2 linked regions of the Caenorhabditis elegans genome follow. The protein of the gene in region 1 purifies or fractionates together with the protein of each later gene. This does not show direct contact. Each region holds a gene or a part of one and is shown on either strand. Other genes may lie near its edges. The genes, in order: cth-2 and cysl-1.

What was found.
Region 2: the proteins of cth-2 (region 1) and cysl-1 fractionate together in Caenorhabditis elegans (co-fractionation; one large-scale study listed by BioGRID). This does not show direct contact.

Annotation. Positions count from the first base shown.
Region 1 is NC_003280.10:7,055,684-7,059,893, reverse strand, and holds cth-2 (Putative cystathionine gamma-lyase 2), read left to right. Parts: upstream 1-1,933; 5' UTR 1,934-1,950; coding exon 1,951-2,025; intron 2,026-2,073; coding exon 2,074-2,695; intron 2,696-3,096; coding exon 3,097-3,578; 3' UTR 3,579-3,710; downstream 3,711-4,210. Other genes in the region: ZK1127.3 (EAF7 family protein), read right to left, coding at 3,846-3,968, 4,010-4,210.
Region 2 is NC_003284.9:9,952,074-9,956,430, reverse strand, and holds cysl-1 (Cysteine synthase 1), read left to right. Parts: upstream 1-1,897; coding exon 1,898-2,000; intron 2,001-2,281; coding exon 2,282-2,370; intron 2,371-2,422; coding exon 2,423-2,551; intron 2,552-2,705; coding exon 2,706-3,189; intron 3,190-3,257; coding exon 3,258-3,366; intron 3,367-3,530; coding exon 3,531-3,642; 3' UTR 3,643-3,852; downstream 3,853-4,357.

The sequences.
Region 1 (4,210 bases):
TTTACACCTTTGGTGAAAATTATTAATCTAGTTAGTTAATCTAGTTAATCTAAAATTATGGGTACTTATACATTTAAAAAATTAATTTTTCATTCAAGTAGCAAATTGGTAAAACCTGCTTTCTGATCACAAGCAATAAAATGTAAACCTACTGGTAGCAACTCTACCTATTTCTAAATCTAGAAGAAAATGCAATTGATCAATAAATTGAAACTTTCGCTTTCTTTTTCCTCCTCCTCCAAATTCAAGACTTCCTGCAAATGAAATGTCGTCTCAAATCTTATCTTTTCCACGCCAAGGTTGCCAATTAAAAAACACGTCACAATTATCATCATTTCTATGTATTCAATCCCTATCTGCCTCTTCCAAATGATATTTTGAACTTGAACTCTCTCCTTCTGGTGCCCTTTGTCCAACTGCTCGAGACACACATGTGGCTGGTTTGCAGTAGACACAACGAGAGAATGAGACAAATTCTTCTCTCTTTTTGATAACGAAAAAATGATACGAGACATAGAGAAATCGATGCTTTGAGGATTTGATTTCATCGACATGTTTCTCAAACAAAATACCACATGGTAGACCTCCACGTGGGGTGATTGGCACTGGAATTTGAACTTTTTGAAAAAAAAAACTGTAACATGTGATAAATATTATATCAACTAAACGAAGGAACAAAATAAACATTAAGATAGTGTTCAAACTGCACAATTACGTGATTTCAGTTAATTTAAAATTCCTTCAAGACTTTGGAAACTCTAATAGTAAGTCACGTCAAACTGTGTTATCTTTTGTTTCAAGATCGTCATTAGTAAATACATTTATGATTACTGACTTTCATAGTTTGTAAAAAAAAATAATTGCAGCAAGAACTCTTTGTGAACTTGAGCTGATACATTGTCATGATACTGTTGGCCTACTGTAGTTTGTATGCAGAGCCAGTGGAGATTTTCAAAAAAACTCATCTTATGGTGCTAAAATATAGAAATTTTTATACATCCTTAAATGTTTTCGGAAATTTCTATTATTTATACAACGTTGTAATTACTTAAGTTAGTTCTCTTCTATCCTTTTGGAAGTCGATCAAAATAACATTTTCCACGATTTTTAAGTTTTTACTATAAAAACAAATATTAGTAGGGAGGGATAGGGTCGGGGTACTGTAGGATTAATGTATTTTTGTAGAAACCTCTGTTTCTATTAAAATGTTTCTATTACTAGTATTAGGCCAATTCATGTTAAAAATTAAGATTCTGGTTCGTAGAATGTGACTTGACATTATACAATTCAAATTCCGAACTTTTCAAAAAATACTATAGAATTTACAAATATTCAGCTGTTCACGAAAAAACCATATTTGAGCAATAAAAATTGTTTTTAACCAACATATAAAAACACCACAGAATCCCCAGAAATGTCAAATTTATTACCAAACTTGTGCCAAATACATATTATTTTTTGAAGTATGAAAAATACGCCACCTATCAGTCGTTAATCTTATCTTTTATTTTTCAAATTTCTCAATTTCCCACGCTTCTTCTCATATCCGGTTTTTTCTGCAAAATGGTCTCGTTTGGAGATTTGATAAGAGTGTTTATTCCAGATGTGTACATCATTCAATAGTATCAAACATTGTTCATTCCTTCTTTGCACATCACTATTTATTTTTCTTCTTTTCTTCCGTTTTTAACATCTTGTTTGCCTAATCAGCTACATTCTGTAAAATCTAAAAATAATAGAAGATTAACGTCTTTTTGACCAATGTCAAGAACGTTTTTTTCTTTAACGATTTCATTGAAACTTTCGGCGTGTCGACCGACCCTTCGTTTGACCCCGCCCCTTTCATTCGTTCTTTTTTCTTTTCTCTCCTCTTTCTCTCACACTTATAAATCCATTTGATTATCATTTCTCGACATCAGTCTTCTTATTGCAGCCTGTCTCAAGATTAAAATGGCTACTTTCCCACACTTCGGAACTGCTGCTATCCACGTTGGACAAGAACCAGAGCAATGGGATATGAATCAGGTTTGTCATAGGTATTCTGAATATAAATACTGAACTGATACTTTTCAGGTGGTCCCGCCAATCAGCTTGTCCTCGACCTACAAACAGGATAATCCAGGAGAGCCAAAGGGACACGATTATTCTCGTGCTGGAAACCCAACTCGTGATGTTCTTCAAAAGAATCTGGCTGCTCTCGAAGACGCAAAACACTGCCAAGTGTTCTCTTCAGGACTTGCCGCAACTTCCGCAATCATCAATCTTCTCAAGTACGGAGATCATATTGTGTGCTCTGATGATGTCTACGGAGGTACTCAAAGATATATCCGCCGTGTTGCTGTTCCTAATCACGGATTGGAAGTCGATTCGGTTGATTTGACGGATGTTCAGAATCTCGAGAAAGCAATCAAACCAAATACCAAGATGGTTTGGTTTGAATCTCCATCTAACCCACTTTTGAAGGTTGTTGATATTGCCGCAGTGGTCCAAACTGCAAAGAAAGCCAATCCAGAAATTGTTGTAGTTGTTGATAATACCTTCATGTCTCCATACTTCCAACGCCCAATTTCTCTTGGAGCGGATGTTGTCGTTCATTCAATTACCAAGTATATTAATGGACATTCTGATGTTGTTATGGGTGCTGTTATCACTGATAATGACGAGTTCCAACAACATCTTTTCTTCATGCAACTTGGTTAGTTTACTGTGCTGTTGTACGCAGTGAAATCTAGTCGTATAATTTTGTCATTTTGAGGCATAGATACGGTAACCGGTCTTGAAGCTAGTGAAACTTGGCAGCTACTGTATTCGCAAGTGCTTCGAATTTTTTCTTAACGGTTTTCACTGAATTTCAATATTAATTTCTTCGTGTTTTTCTAGAAAAGAAATCAGTTTCTCTGCTTTAGAAATCATATAAAATACATTGGAACTATAAAAAAAATTGCTAAATACTTGTGGGTACTGTAGAAGCAAAGTTTCGCTCATATCGAGAACATGTACCTTGAGTCAAATGTCGCAAAATTATAAAACTGTTTAAAATCTCATTGGATAGCTAAATTAATCGTTAACTCAAAATTTTAATGCTATTATTTTCAGCCGTCGGAGCAGTCCCATCTCCATTTGATTGCTTCCTTGTTAATCGTGGACTCAAAACTCTTCACATCAGAATGAGAGCTCACTATGAAAATGCTCTTGCTGTTGCCAAATACCTTGAAGCCAATGATCGTATCGAATCAGTTCTCTATCCAGCTCTTCCATCTCATCCACAACATGAAGTTCATGAGAAACAAACAAAGGGAATGTCTGGAATGATCTCATTCTATCTTAAAGGAGAACTTCAAGAGAGTCGTGCTTTCCTTTCTGCTCTCAAAGTATTCACTTTGGCTGAATCTCTTGGAGGATATGAATCACTTGCCGAGCTTCCATCTATCATGACTCATGCTTCAGTGCCTGCTGAAACTCGAATTGTTCTTGGAATCACTGATAACCTTATCCGTATCTCTGTTGGAATTGAAGATCTCGATGATTTGGTTGCTGATTTGGATCAAGCTTTGAAGATTGCCATTCCAAAAGTATAACTTTTCAATCATTTTATGATATGCATTTGTTTCAAATCTGAAAGCCGGTACTAGTTTTAATTGCCCACTCGTCTCCACCACAACCTCTAACTAATCGACTCAAATTGTGTCTTACACTATCCAATAAATTTTTTCTATGAAAAATGATAATTGTTATTCGAAACAGAAATTGGAATACATAACATGATATTTTGCAATTGGTATATGAAAGAAAGGTACACATTGAATTATAATTAGATAGCGTAGAAGGAATCATAGAGAGATCATTTAAGTTTGAATGTCATAATTTTCATCTTCTTCTGTCAATCTTCTGGGGATGGTACTCTTCTTTTCCGACTCGACGATCCCGTTGTCTGTGTTTCTTTCTCTTTCTGCTCTCTTATCTGAAAGCTATGAACAAAAATAAGCAATATCTATTGTTTCAAAATTACCTCGCGCACTTCAGCCATGATATACTCGGGAAGTTCGTAATCGGTGACACTATTAAACTCGCTTGGATACGATTCATTTTCTTCACAGAATCTCAGACCGAACCATTTTTTGAGCTTATCTTCGATCATTTCAAGTGAAGGACGACACAAGTATTTAGGCGGATATGAAGTTCGTTCTGGGCGTCCTCCCATCAAGAGGTC
Region 2 (4,357 bases), on another chromosome or scaffold:
AGTGTTCTGCATGCTCTTTCATTTACATTTAATGCTCTCGAGGTCCATATTAATGTTTCTACTCTGGTCGCAAAGCTAATAAGCTTTTATCCGTCAGTTATGCTCCCATGCGTATGCGTTTCGCTAGATTTTCATCTTTTGATCTCTACATCTTAACTGAGAAGTAGTCCCAGTGGTCAAAGTATATATGAATGAAACAGCATGCGTGTGGAAATTGTTATTCAATTCATCGTTGTAATTTCATCAACAAAGAAATTAACAAAAATTGTCTCTGTTACCGCTTTTTAATTTATTTATCAACCTTGGTAGGTCTCCACAATCCAGTTTTGTTCTTTTCTTTTTATCGTTTGTGTTTTATATCTTTTTGCAAAAGATATAGAGATAAATGCATGCTCGACAGTATAATTCTTATATTCAACGTTTCTGGACGACGTGGGAATTTTCCCATGCTACTGATGAAGTCTGAAGTGCATAGAAGAAATAGCACGAGTGACCTTTTGCTTTCTGGACATTATTGCATGCAAACTACTACTTTTTGCTTACTTCACACTATTTCGACACTACTATTATTGGTTTTCTCAATCATCAAATGTGTTTTCAAAGAATTTTGAAACATATCCAGATAGAAACTGTAAAAAGGTCTAATGCTCTTTAAGAACTGCCGTTTTAAAATGATCAAAGTTTACTTTTTGAAGTAAATTCTGAAAACGCCTCGCGATATCGTGTAATTTGATCGTTTGTTCATTATATTTTTTATTAAGAAAACTCCCCATCACCTCCTATTTCATCCTTCTCGGAGTTTTCTTAGAAGAAAAAGAAAATGGAAAAAGCGTGTGAATGTTTCTATTAGATGACAGGAGATCCATTTTTTACATCCTTCAATTTTTGCAACAAGATTCCACTTCAAAGAATGAAATGTTTCATTAATAAGTGCAGTTTCAAAAGATCAAAATAATACCAGCCGGTTAGTTGTTGCATTTGCTATTTTTACAAAACAAGAACACTAAGTATATATCGAAACGTGCAAGTACTTTTCATTGGTTTAATCCGGTGAGTGGGGCGTTTTCGTGTTTTGTTTAACTCATGACTCATAAAGGTTATTCAGGATAAACTATTCCTAATTACCTATAATAGATGTACATGTAAATGCTTTTCCATGTTTGGAGTTTATCGTGCTTGATCTAGAAAATAACAATTTTTTGAAATAACTCTGTCTGAGTTCCTAAAAAGTTTAATTTATACTTTCGGGAAAAATACGAAGTGGTTTACCTTTTATCATCAAAAATGTCCCAGTTTCTAATAAATGGATATCATCTCTTCTTTTCCCATTGTAAATTTTCCAGCTCACCGACATTTGCATAATGCAATTATGTCATACTGAGCGGTTATTGTTGTTTTATTATCTTATCGTGGATTCATTCTCTCCTTACTTGCTCACTTCATTTTTATAAATCTGTCTCGTTGCAGCTGCTCTATAAGATACAACAACGGGATATTCTTCTATCTCTTGCTCGTTGTGTTGCGTGTTCTGTTTGTTTCCTCATTGCTTCCTTAGAATGTTCATTCAATGGCTCATTAGATGTGTGCCAACCTTTAAGAAATGCCAGCTGATTGTGCATTCGTTCCGCTACACAACATGTACTTAGACATGTGTCGTCTATCTCTCCCTATCTTATAACATTTTCTTTATCTCCTTATCTCCTTCTGTTTAAAAGTCCAACTATCATTTGGAGTTTGGTGTCAAAACCAGCAGAAACAGATGATAGAAAAATATTTTGTTTCCGTGCCAATAGTCATTGATAGTTTAAAATATTTCTTTCCTGTGATATAGTTTTCCCTTTTCTGCGTTCTCTCGTTATTGTCTACACTCTCATTTAACTCATAGTCGATGTTTCAGATGGCTGATCGCAACTCTATTGGCGAAAATGCTGCCGCGCTTATTGGCAACACACCCATGGTGTACATCAATAAATTGACAAAAGGACTTCCAGGGACAGTTGGTTGGTTTATTCATTTGAATTAAACGAAATCTTAAAAAATGTTTTGAACAATACTGGTGAAACTTTGAATTTTTTTGTTTCTTTTATGCAATACCACTGTAACCGAGTTTTGTAACTTCTCAACAAAATATAACTTTGACAAATAGTCTCACTTAAAAGAAAGTACGAAAAATAGTAAAACCAGAACGTAGATAAAATTGAATTTTACAAATCAAAAATGTTTTGAATTTTCAAGAAGAAACAAAAGTCCAATTATCCTATTATAATTTTCAAGTTTACAGCTGTAAAAATCGAATACATGAATCCAGCGGGATCGGTCAAAGATCGTATTGGAGCGGCAATGCTTGCAGCGGCCGAAAAAGATGGAACGGTGCTTCATCAACAATACCATTGTTCAAAAAATTGCATTAAAATTTTTTAAGGTGATCCCGGGAGTGACCACGCTCATTGAGCCAACATCAGGAAACACTGGAATCGCATTGGCTTTTGTTGCTGCCGCCAAGGGGTATAGATGTATTGTCACAATGCCAGCATCTATGAGTGGAGAACGCGTGAGTATTGATCTTATGGATGCAAATCTTCACCCCAGGAATTGCCAGTACTGAAACCTTTTTTTTTAGCTATTGAGTACAGTTGTGTCATCTGTGATTTTAAACAAATCTCCGGGTTGAAAATTTTTTAACATATAAAATATATATCTTACAGAGAACTCTTCTCAAAGCATATGGATCCGAGGTGGTCTTGACAGACCCAGCGAAAGGAATGAAAGGAGCGATTGACATGGCTAACCAGCTGAAGGAAAACATTCCAGGGTCTATCATTCTTGCTCAATTTGACAACCCAAATAATCCACTTGTTCACTATCAAACAACTGGACCAGAAATTTGGAGACAAACCAAAGGGACAGTAGACGCTGTTGTTTTTGGGGTTGGAACTGGTGGAACAATTACCGGAGTTGGCAGATACTTGCAAGAGCAGAATCCAGGTGTCCGCGTGTTTGCTGTGGAGCCAGAAGAATCCGCTATACTCAGCGGCAGACCAGCCGGTCCACACAAAATTCAAGGCATTGGAGCAGGGTTTGCTCCAGCTGTTTTGGACACAAAGATCTATGAAGACGTAATTCGAATTCATTCCGATGAGGCTATTGTCATGGCTCAAAGACTTTCCTATGAAGAAGGTCTTCTTGGCGGTAGGTTGTGTGACTGTGTTTGCTTTGATAGTTTGAAAGAAGTATGTTTTTAAAATTCTATATTTTAGGAATTTCCTCCGGAGCTAATGTTGCAGCTGCACTTCAGTTGGCTGCTCGCCCAGAAATGGCTGGAAAGCTCATTGTGACTTGTTTGCCAAGCTGTGGAGAACGATACATGTAAGATGACTGACTTAAAATGTTACTTGTGATGTGAGCTAGTAGTTTGCATCTGATTCCTCGGATGTTGAGTATTTCTGATAGAAAGTTAAACAACTATTGAATCTTTAACGTAGTAATCATGTACAATTTACTGTGATTGATCTTAAAAACCATTTTTCCAGGACCTCTCCTTTGTACACCGACATCCGCGAAAGCGCTATGGCTCTGGCAGTCGAAAGCTTGGAGGCAAACTTGAAGAAGTTATGTCTTCACAACTATGATATTATGGAGTGATTTAAATCAAAAATTCATCTCACTTTTTTCTTTTTTCTTTCATTTAAATTCTTTCACCCAAAAATTATCAAGGTTGTTACTCACTAAAAATGATAAATCGGCTGGTAATTCAATCAAAAAACCTACACATTATAATAATTTGCATTCTTTCGTATTTTTTCCATGTAAATGTTCCGCTGTCTATTTTTTCAATAAATGCAATTAGTGTTTTGTACTGTGATCTAAGATAGCTTGTATGCTTTGAACCCGCAGACACTAAGATTGGTGTTGAACTGACGAAACTGGGAGGATAACCGACTTTTTTAAAAACAATTAAACCATTAGCACAGTGAGGCATGAAATAGGCTTGTCGATGTCTCATGAAAAGGTCAGTGCAGATAGAAACACTGACCCTAATAAGGAGGAATGAAACCTGGTTTGGCTAATCGCCAGAAAAATTCTTTCACCGATAGTGGTGGCCAACGAGACAAACGCTGCATGTGGTTTCAAGCGAGAAGTTCAATTTAATTAGTAGTATGGATATTTAACGCGATCTTTATCAAATCGGAAAACTATACCACGGAGGTCTGGTTTGATGGTTTCACTATGAAATTATTTGAGCGGAAAGTTCACAGTTTTCTAGCTGACTCCTTTGAACATGTTCAGTTGAATTGACATAAACTTAAATGGTTCACGTACCCATCTTTTTGGAAAAGAGTAATGGAAAAGTTCTAGT